Daphnia pulex: one gene and its partner. The protein of the gene in region 1 interacts with the protein of each later gene in a biochemical or structural test. Links are inferred from orthologs where the notes say so. Each region holds a gene or a part of one and is shown on either strand. Other genes may lie near its edges. The genes, in order: ubiquitin-protein ligase E3C-like and 26S proteasome non-ATPase regulatory subunit 2-like.

Region 1 (6,611 bases):
GACTCGGCGTCCTCCAAACAGCCAGATATCGCTATCGTCCGTTATGGTGCCTTGAGTTAGACCAGCTTCGTCCAAGAAAGCGCACTGCGCCTCAGCTTCCATTGGAGCGACTAGATAAGGAATTCCAAATAGCCTCAGCAACTCCTACAATACAGCATTCTAATGTGTAAACATAACACCACACTTCTATAGCTACGGCATCAAGTAATAGAATCATACCTGAGATTCTGAATACATCTGGTCTGTAATAGATGAAGCTAGGCGTTCTTGCCGTCCATGTTCCTGAATTAAAATCGACTGCTCTTCGTTGATCACTCTTCCCATCTCTTCAAGTTCTTCTTTTCTCTTGGTTGTTATTGTGTGCACTACTGGTGATGGTGGCTCACTTAACTTCGTAGTTTTAGGCGAAACTTCAAAAGCCACTTGAGATCTTGAATTTTCTCCTGTTATTTCAACATTACGAACTTCAAAGCTACCTTCAACATCGTTTTTATTGTGAGTATCTAGCATTTTCGAAGTTTCTTCAATGGTAATAACTGAGGAAGACTGGGATAAGTTGTCACATTGGACAATTGGTGGTGGTTCAGTGGAAATTCTTCCTATAGGGATAGGAGGAGACGACACATGTTCCTTGACGAACGCTGAATTTTCTAATAAAGGTTTTTGCACCATAACATCAATTACTTCCGACAAACTGTGCGGCTGCTCAACAACAGTTTTACAGTCAACGAAAGAGTTTTCGTCGCTTAGTTGTAAATCCGCTCCATGAGTTACTTGTGTTATTTCCGATAATATCAGAATATTTTCTTTTTCAAGAGTTGTAGTGGTTGAGCTCAATACTGTTTCTTTGCTAGCGGCTATTATGGACTCTGTTGATTTGCATGACGTAGTGTTATCCACAGGCACAACAAAAACATCAGGTTCTTCCATTGACGAATCCTTTTCAACTGAGCTGAGATCATCCGATTGATGTGTTGGTTTTTCAGTTTTCGAGGGAACGGCAGAGGTAAATATATCAGCAAACATGTCGTCTTCTTCAGCTATTGCAGGATTGATCGGAATATCAAGGATGACTCTATTCCCAGGGTATGGTAGAGCTGATGGAACTTCTTCGAAATCCGAATCTTCGTCAGACGAACTAATACACATTACTGGTTCCTTTTTTTGTTCACTTCCAAATATTGCGAATAACTCTTGTTGACTAAATCCATCTTCATCCACTTCCAAAATTTGTTCGGTGGCTAGGTTCTCACTAACTGATGCGACTTTTATGGGCTGCTCTATTACGTTCGGGTCGGTGGCTTTTTTTGGTCCAATTTTTGTCGGTGACGTAGAGTGTTGTAAAGCTTTTTTAATCAATACGTAGTGAGTAGAATTGTCAGAAGCAATTTTGTGTGACTCAGCTACGTCTCCTTGATTTAATGCAAACTGTTCATGATTCTGTTGACCGATTTCTTTTACCACCTCATTCAGACGCTGTTGCAAATTTCTTCGCTTCAACAGCCTTTCCATTTGAAATCCAGAAAAATCATCAGCCTCCTGCATTTAATAAAATAATCCAACAGCGTTGAAACGATTAGATAAGAGAAGTCAAAAGAAGACCACGGGAATTATGATCCCCCCTCTCCCCAAAAAAAAAGAATAAGCAGCAGGAAACATGCTACCAAAATTACCTGGGGCATTTGGTGAATCCTGTTCCAGGAAGATTGCTTACGAGTGTCTCGCAGTTCCAATAGAATTTCATGTTGTATTTCAGTTGGCAAAGCAAGGAAAGCTTCACTTGTAACATCTACTGAATGTATGTTGTGACCTTTCATATGTAAAGAAATTGCGCCCAGATTTCCATTTGCATCGTCGTCAAAATCTGATTCTGAAGAATTGTCCCTAAACATCAACATTGTTATTAAAATGTTAAGAATTTCTGTGTCAAAGAATTAACAAAAATTTACTCAGTGTTTTGATTTGGAATTGGTGGAAGCTCAAATAAATCAGGTTCCAATTTTTTCTTTTTTAACAAAGGAGCTCCAGATTTCCCTTTATTTTTGCCAAGTTGTTTATTGATAACTTCTGACTTAATATAGTTTGAAAGGATTTTCTCTGCAACCATATCATTGTTCTTAACAGCTGTATCTCTCCTGTTATGACGTGCAGCCTAAATTGTATTTTATGATTTCAAAAATTGTTGAGTAACATGTAAAAATAAGTGTACCATGGTTTGCCGTTTCAGTACTGGAACCCCTCCATCAAAAACAAATACTGGTTTGATTTTGAAAAACAATAGCTTGCAAAGACGGTGGCATAAGCCTGATGAGAAGATGAATTAATCTAAATTAATCAAATAATGGCCTTGTGAATTGAATTACCCAATAAGTGGGCATTTGGTAATGGATTTCCTTGGGCATCCCGGAAACCTTTAGTTGCTTGATGAAGCCAAATAGACACATCTAAACAAATAAAAATAAAAAATGATATTTTATGATTTGTTTAGAGTGAAAACAGCATATCTCAACATGGTATTGAAGAACTTACCAACAGCGAGAACTTTATTCTCAAGGGTTTCTAGCGGAACAGGTTTGCCAACCGGTTCTAGTAGATTCCACAATCCATGAACTCCCATCTTTGAAATCACAAATTATCTCGTAAAAGTTTTCCTTCATTCAAAAGAAATTACTGCTCTTACAGATGAGACAAAGTTGTCTCACGGCATGCTTGTTTTCAAACAGAAATCGCTTGGAATATCTTCTGCTAGAATGGACAGAATTGTTTAGGTTGTGTTCACTAATGCTTCACCAGAGTTGGCTGCACTAATTCAATATAATAAAGATATTAAATGGTCTGAAAATAAAAGAGAATATTTTACGGTTTGTGTTTTAAACTTTTAATTGCTTTTTGAAAATATTCCCTGTATCTCGCGATCCGCGAATAGATTTTCTGCCATTTCACCTGTTTATAGCTTGTTATTTTAATTATGCAACATCGTAAGTTTAGTCATTCTTGTGAAAAACGTCTGCTGTTCAGTTTCCCAAAGTCACCAATTTATCACAATAAAAGGATAAAGGATCCAATTACGGCAACTCGCAAATAGTCCACAAGACCTGGATCGATTCGTTGTTTTTGAAATGTTTAGTTTTGAGGGAGAGTACAGGCGAAAACCTGTCCAAAGTTTGGGAGGCGCATCAAAACATAGTCAAAGAGACATTTTTCTCCAGAGAACACAACTAGAAAGGCAAAAAAGAGAAGTAAAACAAAAATATTGCATTTCAACTCAAGATCATTCATTACTAACCTACTTTATTGCTAATGCAGGATTTACGTCGACAAAACCAAAGTGCTGTTATCATTCAAGCTTTTTTTCGAGGTTGCCAAGCTAGATCCCTTCAAAAGAACATTCAACGACAAGAGTTTGAAAGAATACAGGCCACCAATTTCCAAAATATTAACTTACAACTCTTGACATCTTTGATCAACAAACTTAAGTTCTTCTTTGATAAAGAGAAAGATGCTAACAAACTTGTGTGGCTATCACAGCTGGTGATAAAAAATTCACCTAGCATAATGAAGCAATGCCAAACTGAGAAACCATTCACATTTAGCCTTGCTCAATTCCTCAGCTTAACTCTGTGCTACATATCTGATACTATTCATTTACCAACTGGAGAGAGCAAAGGGTCCCACTGGAGGGTCTTGGAAATCTTCCTCAATGCAGAGGGCTGGAGAAAAAGTGTAGGAGTTCAAACAGCTGATATGATTTTGGGTTCAATATTTTTTTTCCTGTCTCGAAAAGGTAACATTCTCTCCTTGTTATCACAAACTTTTTTTTGCAAATAAAAATTATCTTTATTTTAGGTTATTTTACCCAGTTACGCCAGATTGTTGATGTTAAAATACCACCTTTAGTTGAGCCCACCACAAAGGCACCAACCCCTCTTTCTGGTTGCCTGTTGGACTTTATTTTTCAACCCCTAGAATTTGCATCGGCGACAATGAATATAAATAATCGGTTTGAAAAAGAATTTTTCTATTTATTATCCCACTTTTAAATTTATTTAAATTTATTTTCGTTTAGTAACACTGTAGTTGCATCCTTTAGCCGAGAATTTCTGGAACCAGCGTATTCAGAACCAATCACAAATTTCATTCTTCCGTCTTTGAGGCAGAATAATAACAAAATTCCTTTGTTATGTTTGCTTCAAAACAATGAAGCTTGTGCAAGAAATCCGTGGCTTCTTCATAGCATTCTGGTGCTGGCAGATGGACACCCTGGTAACTTAAGAATTCAGTTAACATTCTTGATTCTATAAGTACCAACGATTTCTTCTTAAAATAGAACTTAAGGACGATAGAGTGCTGTCATTCTACGTTGCCACAGTAAGTCGTTTAAGCGGATGTCTCCAATTCATGCAAACTGCTGAAGTTCACGAAGACGACGACGACTCAGACGAAGAAGATGTACAAACTAACATATTTAAAGCTGCCGAACAAGAAGTAATAACCTTGAAATATCTGGTTCATTTCGCAAATCAGTAATGTCATTTTCCTTGATTGCTACAGATAATGACTCGTTGCTGTGAGTTACTTAATAATATCAATACGGTACATGTATTGGTAACAGCCCTGCAAATCCCTGACGTTCTACCAGATTTGTGTGTCGTTGGTCACAATCTGTTGCTGTCTGATCGATTGGCGCTCCACAAGTGCAGGTATAGCAATACATAAATTTACTCGTCTTGACTCTGTAATTTTTAACCGGCGCCATAATTTCTAGGCTACTTTATACGTTGGCTTTCAAACCTTGTTATCTGCAACAGTTGTTAGGCCATATCAAATCAGAAAAGCAAGTGTCGCTGTTTGGTTCATCGGATACGTCCTTGGTTCAACTTTTGGCGAAAGGTGTTCATCTGGCGCATTCGGAAATTGACCGAATCGTACCCGTGTTAGATGTTTTCTGTTCACTTTTCAGTCATCTTTTAGTAACGTTGGACGACTCCGAATTTTACAACGAATCGGGTTCGTCTTCTACATAGTTTTTTTCGAAAATAATTTTTAACTTAGCAATTTATTGCTCATTTATTAGATCCAGTTTCTGGAGCTATGCCGTTCAGCCTAACTGAAGTGGTCGAACTGGCTTCTATATTGCGTGACGTTTGCCTTGGATTGGTGGAACTTGCTTATCCTGATACTCGCCCAAGCACCTCCTTCAACTTTGTCAAGACCCGTACTACTTCCACCGGTAACACACAAGAAGATACCCGACTGTGGATGCATCTGTTCAAAGTAAGGCTAATTTATTCAATACATGGACACAAAATGAGTGATATACCCTTCATTGTAGTCTACAGTGAATCTCGTCAGCCAGTTGCACACAAGAGATACGCGCCGACCGTTCTGTCCTAGTTGGGTTTGGATAACTGGAAGAATTGCCCTGCCTTTGGAGAGGAATGGCCAGCTGTCTTTCCGTAGGCAAGGCAGACTTCACCGTCCGTTTAGGGCTATCCGACCATTAACCAGGAATGAAATTGGTAATTTTTCCTTCGTGTTGACACTCTAAAAGAGTATAATTTACTTAATAATATTTCTTAGTAGAAGAGGAAGGTAGTTCTATGTTGTCAACAAGAGAGGTGCGAACCTTAGCCATTCTGCGTGAAATTCCGTTTGTGTTCTCGTTCACCGATCGGGTCAAAATGTGGCAGCAATGGATCCTCAATGATAAAATGCAGCAACAGGGAGAGGCCAATTTCCTTCGAGGTCCATCCATTCAGGTCATGATTCGCCGGAATTATATTTATGAGGACGCTTTCGATAAACTTTCCCTTGAAAATGGTGAGTTTCATTCACAATTCTGAAGGATAACAGAAGATTAACTGAAATTTATCTTGACAGAACCAAATCTGCGATTTAAGATGAGAGTCCAGTTAACGAATGCTGTAGGATTGGACGAAGCCGGAGTCGATGGTGGTGGTATATTTCGTGAATTCCTGTCAGAGTTGCTGAAAACGAGCTTCGATCCGAATCGCGGGTTTTTCCGCTTAACACACGATAACTTGCTCTACCCTAATCCCGGTGTGGCTGTCCTCGTTTCGGATTTCCCAGCCCATTACTACTTTATCGGTCGTATGCTGGGAAAGGTGGGATTGAACACAGCTTCTTAATGCTTTATGGTGGTTCTAATGTCGTGATTATCATTAGGCTTTGTACGAGAATTTGCTGGTGGAATTGCCGATGGCGGATTTCTTCCTCTCCAAGATCCTCGGTCAGGCCAGTGCTAGTTTAGACGTCCATCATTTGGCTTCCTTAGACCCAGTACTTCACAAGAATCTTCTTTATCTCCGCCATTATGATGGTGATGTCACCGAACTAGGACTCGATTTCACCATAGTGAGCAGCGAATTGGGCGAAACGAGGGTAAATTAGTCGAGGAATATCTTTCCACGGGTTTCTTTTCAACCAACGACTTTCTCTATTTAGGTGGAAGAACTGAAACCGAACGGATCCAACATTCCCGTCACGTCTTCAAATCGTATCGAATACATCCATTTGGTGGCGGACTACAAACTCAACAAGCAAATCCGTTTGCAATGCAATGCATTCCGCCAGGTATGATGTGTGATTTT
Region 2 (6,611 bases), on another chromosome or scaffold:
TTATTGAAATTTGAAACCATTTAAATCACTTTGCCAGAGAGGTAATAGAATAATAATTTGTATTTTAAATTATCAACCTTTTTTATCATTATTTTATTCTGATTTGATGAAACGGGAAAATAGTATAGAAAAATAGATGAAAACAAAGTTCCAAAACATTCAACCTGCCCCTAGCGGCACATTCTATAGCTCTGGCATAGACAAAGACCACTGGTTGAAGCTCTTCATAAGAAAATTAACATGGCCAACTGTCGCCAGAATTCTTGCTACCCTTCCTCCGATTTCTCCAACCCCGTATTACTTGTCCTGCCCTCTAGTGTACGTTTTCATCTCTACACTCTGCTTACTTCTATTCAATTGCAATGATTAATTGATTTCTCTGCTTTTGTAATTAGCTAATGTCAAAATTTAATACAATTTGACTTCTTAATAAAAATTTTTAAGGCAAAATTACCTAAAACTATTAAACGCCAGCAAAGAATTTTACCAAGACAGAAGGAAAACAATCTTCGTCTGCAAAACCCTTCGTAGCCTCGGTGCAGTACAGTACTTTGTCCGCTAGAGGCACTACAATCGATACGGGAGCTCGGGGTCAGTAGGGATAGGGCTAAAAGGATAGCACAGCATCAACCAGTGGTCTTTGTCTATGGCTCTGGCCTCTGGGCCTCTGGTGGCACTCTCATAGTCTCAAGCCATACTCAAGCATATCTTTATGCAGTTTACTTCGCAGTCTATGGTGCTGTGCTACGACGAAAGTTGTTGATCTTGAATCTTGATTGCTGAAAATCTGGAAAAATATAAACGCTATTAAGATGGATTTTTTGAAAGCTGAAATGGAACGCAAGCGCAAAATGCTGCAAGATAAAGACATTATGGTAAGTTGGGCTTCATCAAGATCGTTGTATATTTAAAAATATAATTCCTTACTCAAAACAACAGATTCATTTTCATTGTGCATTGTCATAGTTTCAAATAATCATTTACAGATGGAAATGCATAGAACAATCGAATTGTGTATTTCTAAATAATGTTAGGTGGAAAATTATTTGAAATTTTACATAATACTCATCAACTTTCTTGTTTAGCCTTCAAGCAAAAAATACTTCAGACGTGGAGATCTGGTTGCGAAAGAGAAGGAAGAATATATAAAAAAACATGCAAATTCATTTGCAGTTAAGCTGTCTGATGGACAAGGCCCTAGCAGAATAGCTGATAATGAAGGAGGAGGTATTCCAAAAAGTTTTACATAACATTTTCAGAGATAACAATGTTTTTTTTATTTGTTATTATTTTTCTAGTTCTAGAGGAAGATGGAGTAACTGTGGCGGTTCTTCCTAGAAAAGAAGTAATTCGTAGATTGCGTGACAGAAATGAACCCATTATTCTGTATGGTGAATCAGACATTGAGGCTTTCAGAAGACTTAGAAAATTGGAAATTTCAGAACCTGAAATCAACAGGGTAACAATCCTTACAGAAAAATGTTGTATATCAGCAAAAAACATCAATATTTTTTGTGATTTATGATCTTTAGGGTCTTCGTAATGATTTCCAAGAAGCTATGGAAAGAGTAGATGAGGCTTATCTGAATGACATTCTTGCCACCAAAAAAGATGAAGATGACCAGTCAGATGATGGTTCAAGCAAGCCCAAGGCTGGTGACGTAAAAGTCATCGCAGATGCAATTAGTTACGAAGAAATTTTAGAATTGGTTAGAGCAATTTAAATTACTTTGAAATTTTTGTATATTCCTAACAAAATTTATTCTCTTAGTCGAAAGATTTGGGAAAAGGAAACGGTGATTTGGATTTGAAAATCATTAGCCAACTACTTAGATTGCTGCTTCAAATCTGGGGTCAAAAACTTAATAGTCGTCCCGAAGCCGAAAAAAGAAGCGTAAAAGGTATTGTGTCTTCCTGTTGATAATCTCTTTGTTGGGTTGTTTCTAACCATTGTATGTTAAAGGTAAACGAGCTTCAGCAACTTACGGTCAGACGCAGCAGTACTTAAAGCCACTGTTCAAGAAACTCCGCAATAAAAGTATCCAGGACGATATTCTCGACAGTTTAACCATTATTGTTGGCCATTTACTTGACAGAAATTACGTCATTGCAAATGATGCGTACTTGGTAAGGTGTCGGTGAAAATTATCTATCGTTCTTCTTATGTTGATTCGCCGTCTTATTTCTATTTTGTTTTTAGCAAATGGCTATTGGTAATGCTCCATGGCCTATCGGTGTCACCATGGTTGGTATTCACGCACGTACAGGTCGAGAGAAAATTTTTTCCAAACACGTTGCACATGTTCTGAACGATGAAACTCAACGTAAATATATCCAAGGGCTGAAAAGACTGATGACAAAGTGCCAGTACTTTTTTCCTACCGATCCGTCTCGCTGTGTGGAATATGGAGCGACAGAGCTTGAATTTTAAGCTGTTTCGAGACGACGAATATGTACTGCTACGTTTGCCTCGGGCACATTACATTTGTTTACGTGTCTTCACGGTTGTAAATATAAAAACGAAGTTCCTCGCTGATGAAACATTTTATTAATTTTTTTTTTCAGTTTTAATTCAGCACTTAAATTTGTTTGTATTCAGCACTTAATTTTATTTCTATTAGACTATTAGTGTTGGACACATGAAAATATGGATTTTATTAGGCCTAACTAATATATGCGGAAATAACTAGATAAGGTGAATGTTGCCTGTGCTGGATGATATTCGCGCTACAGTGTCGTTTTTTTTCTAATCAATCAGTGAGTCTTTTTTGTGTCTATATAATATTGAATGAGGTGATAACATACATGAATGGTTTTATATAAGTAAGTACATAATTTCGTTTAGAATTTGGATTTATGATTTTTTCGTCAGAAACAGCTAAACTAAATAATAGTTTAGAAACATTAAATAAAACACTTACAACTTGCGGGCTTATTTAACCTAACTTTGGCTTGTCAAGCAGTAGAGAAATCGAAAGGCTGTATAATACCATTGGCCTCCTTCTCTAAAAAATCGCATATTTTTCATATAATGCTTTCCACAGTCAAAATCTTAAAGAACTTTAAAGAGAACTGATTTTTATTTTTTTTAAATAATTTATACGGCCTGTCGCCTGCCTGTCCTATTCCTGGCGACATTTTTGGGCAGCAAAAAAATTTAGTTATAACGTAATAAAAATGGAAAGTAAGTAACAAAGATTTCTCTCGCAAGTTTATTTTACAAGAATAAACTTTGTGAATTTCATTAAATTATTACTTATTCCTAGTTATAAAACAACTTTAATTTTTTATTGCAAACATATTCTCATTTGGCAACGAAGCATAGCCCGGCTTATATGTCTATTTCGTCTGTTTTCAGCTTGCGGAAACAGCTTCGTCATATTACACACAATCGTAAAATTTTCAATCACGACAAGTCAGTTTAAAAGGGAAAATGACTGCTGACAAAGAAATTAAGAAAACTGCACCAAACGGCGAAGAAGAAAAAAAGAAGGATGAAAAGGAAAAAAAGGGAAAAGCTAAAGACACGCCGAAAGAAGAAGAACTGGTATAACACTTTAAAATGACAGTATTTCAAATAAGACGTCTTATCATAGTTTGCAATTTTTTGTCAAATTCCTCTCATGTAGTCTGAAGAAGATAAGCAGCTCCAAGATGAGCTGAATATGGTTATTGAAAGGTTGACGGAGAATGATGCTACCTTATGGATGCCCTCTCTAGAAATCATGCGTACACTTATTTGTGCTGCTACTACTTCAATGACAAGTGTTCCCAAACCCCTAAAGTTCTTGCGTCCTCATTATGCTGTCTTGAAAACAATTGTCGAAAAAATTACTGATCCCAACACCAAAGCCCTTTGTGCTGACATCATATCAGTTTTGGCAATGACAAACACTGAAGGAACTGAATGCCTTCAATATCGTTTGATAGGATCCAAAGAAGGACTAGTAGAATGGGGCCATGAATATGTTAGGTAATGAATTCTTGATTTGGAATGTTATGGTCAACTTTTTAATATTTTCATGCTCATTTCAGGCATTTAGCAGGGGAAATTGCCCAGGAATGGGATGAAATCCCTTTTGAAGGAGATGAAGGCAAAGCAAAGAGAGCTCAGTTGTCTGCTCTTGTTGAACAAATTATTCCTTTTCAAATGACTCACAATGCTGAAGCCGAAGCATGCGACTTGCTAATGGAAATTGAGCAGTTGGACATGCTGGAGCAACACGTCGATGAAGCTGCCCACAACCGGGTTTGCCTTTACCTCAGCAGCTGCGTTCCATATGTTCCCGATCCCGAGAATGTTAACCTTTTGAAAACAGCGCTTTCCATTTTCCGTAAATTCCAACAGTGGCCACAAGCACTTAGGCTGGCTCTGCAGATCAATGACCATGCACTGATCGAAGAAGTCTTTTTGGCTTGTAACGACGGGTGAGTTAACTTACTTTGTGTAACAAAGCACATTCGTGGACGGTTTAAATATTAATATTTCTTTTCAGAACTATGCGAAAACAGTTGGCATTTATGTTGGGGCGGCAACAGATATTTCTTGAGCTCAATGAGGAGTTGGAGGATTACGACGACTTGATTGAAATCATGTCCAATACCCACTTAAACAACCATTTCTTATCGCTGGCACGAGAGGTAATATTTGAGATGGATTCGTTCGTCAACAAATTTTGCTAATCTGAATGCTGCATGATATTGCAATAGCTGGACATCATGGAACCCAAGACCCCCGAGGACATCTACAAATCTCATCTGGACAACAATTCTCGTTCTGCGTTTGGTGGTGGTCAAGTAGATTCGGCCCGCCAGAACTTGGCATCGTCTTTCGTTAATGGATTGGTCAATGCCGCCTTTGGCCAGGACAAACTTCTAATGGAAGACGGGAACAAGTGGCTCTACAAAAACAAGGAACACGGTATTTGAATTGACTATTCTGTTTTGTTTTGCAACCGTTTGTACTCACCAAATTGTTCTCTTAGGAATGTTGAGTGCAACAGCTTCGTTGGGCTTGCTGCTCTTATGGGATGTTGATGGTGGTCTAACGCAAATCGACAAATACCTCTACTCATCGGAAGAATACATTAAAGCGGGCGCCTTGCTAGCCTGCGGTATTGTCAACACTGGCGTTCGTAACGAGTGCGATCCTGCCTTGGCTCTTCTTTCTGACTATGTTTTACATAGCAGCAACGTGATGAGGATTGGTGCTATTCTTGGTCAGTTTTGTCCTCTTTGGTTTTCACAGTGACAGTTGGAGGGATGAGTTAGTGATGTCTGAATATTTTGTAATTATTTCAGGTCTTGGACTGGCATATGCTGGTTCCAATCGCGACGACGTGCTCAGCTTGCTGCTCCCTGTCCTCTCACATCCCAAGTCGTCGATGGAAGTTGTGGGTGTCGCCGCCCTTGCATGTGGCCTAGTAGCCGTGGCATCGTGTAACGGAGACGTCACTTCAGCCTTGCTTCAAACACTCATGGAGAAGAGCGAAGTGGAATTGAAAGATACCTTCTCTCGTTTCCTACCTCTTGGATTGGGTCTCACTTATTTGGGAAAGCAAGAAGCCGTCGAGGCCGTTGTTTTGGCTCTGGAAGTTCTAGCCGAACCCTTCAAAGTAATGTAGTTTGAATACTTTTATTTGTTTTTTCTTGGAAAGTTGCTCACCATTTCCTTCTGTAGTCCATGGCCAGCACGATGGTTGAAGTGTGCGCGTTTGCGGGGACGGGCAACGTTCTACGCGTCCAGCGTTTGCTCCACATTTGCAGCGAGCACCACGAACCCCAGGAAAAGGAAGACAGGAAAGAGAGCAAAGAAACGGCGGTCAAAAAAGATGAAAGTGCCGCGGCGGCTGCCGGAGCAGCAGCAGCAGGTTCTGCAACAGGCACTTCGACTGCTGCCGCCTCTTCCGGCGCCCAAGCGGATTTGTCATCTCAGCAAGCCGTGGCTGTCATTGGTCTTGCGCTCATTGGCATGGGAGAGGACATTGGGGCCGAAATGGCCTTCCGCACGTTGGGTCATTTGCTGCGTTACGGAGAGCCTTGCATCCGCCGAGCCGTGCCACTCGCTCTGGGATTGATTTCAGTCTCTAATCCTCGTTTGAATGTCCTCGATACACTTTCCAAGTTCTCCCACGATTCCGACTCTGAAGTGGCCCTCAACAGCATCCTGGCCCTCGGTTTAGTGGGTGCCGGAACCAACAATGCCAGGTACGTCAACAACAATCCCTCCTAGTATCCCGTCATTGTTGTTATTGACAATGTAACATGAACATCCTTGGTATGAGACGACGTTTCGTTGGCTGGTGGCGGGTGGCGGGGGGGTTAGTAGTACATCTTTAGAGAGTTTAGTGGTTTCCTGAAAACGTCTGGTGGTCCGTCATGTTGAGTGTGATGGGCTGACTGATTCGATGAATGAGCTGGCAGTTAATTGATGTTTAACGAAGGAAATCAAAACTGAAGGCTAATGTCATGTGTCATGATCCACTCGCTCGTCTGTTTCTCCGTAGCTAATTTAGTGGCTCATCCGGTTTCATCACTTGACTTTCCTCTTTTTCTAGATTGGCCGCCATGTTACGCCAACTGGCCCAGTACCACGCCAAGGATTCCAACGC

What was found.
Region 2: the proteins of ubiquitin-protein ligase E3C-like (region 1) and 26S proteasome non-ATPase regulatory subunit 2-like form a complex in vitro, tested with the Homo sapiens proteins (2 studies listed by BioGRID). The link is inferred for Daphnia pulex from reciprocal best matches to the Homo sapiens genes UBE3C and PSMD2.

The regions. Positions count from the first base shown.
Region 1 is NC_060018.1:1,402,762-1,409,372, forward strand, and holds the start of ubiquitin-protein ligase E3C-like, read left to right. Parts: upstream 1-2,981; 5' UTR 2,982-3,119; coding exon 3,120-3,239; intron 3,240-3,306; coding exon 3,307-3,784; intron 3,785-3,846; coding exon 3,847-4,000; intron 4,001-4,066; coding exon 4,067-4,263; intron 4,264-4,327; coding exon 4,328-4,485; intron 4,486-4,551; coding exon 4,552-4,700; intron 4,701-4,765; coding exon 4,766-5,007; intron 5,008-5,074; coding exon 5,075-5,274; intron 5,275-5,332; coding exon 5,333-5,519; intron 5,520-5,583; coding exon 5,584-5,820; intron 5,821-5,880; coding exon 5,881-6,125; intron 6,126-6,186; coding exon 6,187-6,402; intron 6,403-6,465; coding exon 6,466-6,594; intron 6,595-6,611. Other genes in the region: DNA excision repair protein ERCC-5-like, read right to left, coding at 1-144, 220-1,539, 1,674-1,884, 1,950-2,152, 2,210-2,304, 2,364-2,444, 2,530-2,617. UniProt on the Homo sapiens protein: E3 ubiquitin-protein ligase that specifically catalyzes 'Lys-29'- and 'Lys-48'-linked polyubiquitin chains.
Region 2 is NC_060024.1:473,730-480,340, forward strand, and holds the start of 26S proteasome non-ATPase regulatory subunit 2-like, read left to right. Parts: upstream 1-3,309; 5' UTR 3,310-3,433; coding exon 3,434-3,547; intron 3,548-3,629; coding exon 3,630-3,973; intron 3,974-4,035; coding exon 4,036-4,428; intron 4,429-4,496; coding exon 4,497-4,641; intron 4,642-4,710; coding exon 4,711-4,921; intron 4,922-4,985; coding exon 4,986-5,219; intron 5,220-5,301; coding exon 5,302-5,615; intron 5,616-5,680; coding exon 5,681-6,207; intron 6,208-6,557; coding exon 6,558-6,611. Other genes in the region: pre-mRNA-splicing factor 18-like, read left to right, coding at 813-875, 1,086-1,227, 1,299-1,459, 1,533-1,709, 1,772-1,901, 1,964-2,127, 2,201-2,431. UniProt on the Homo sapiens protein: Component of the 26S proteasome, a multiprotein complex involved in the ATP-dependent degradation of ubiquitinated proteins.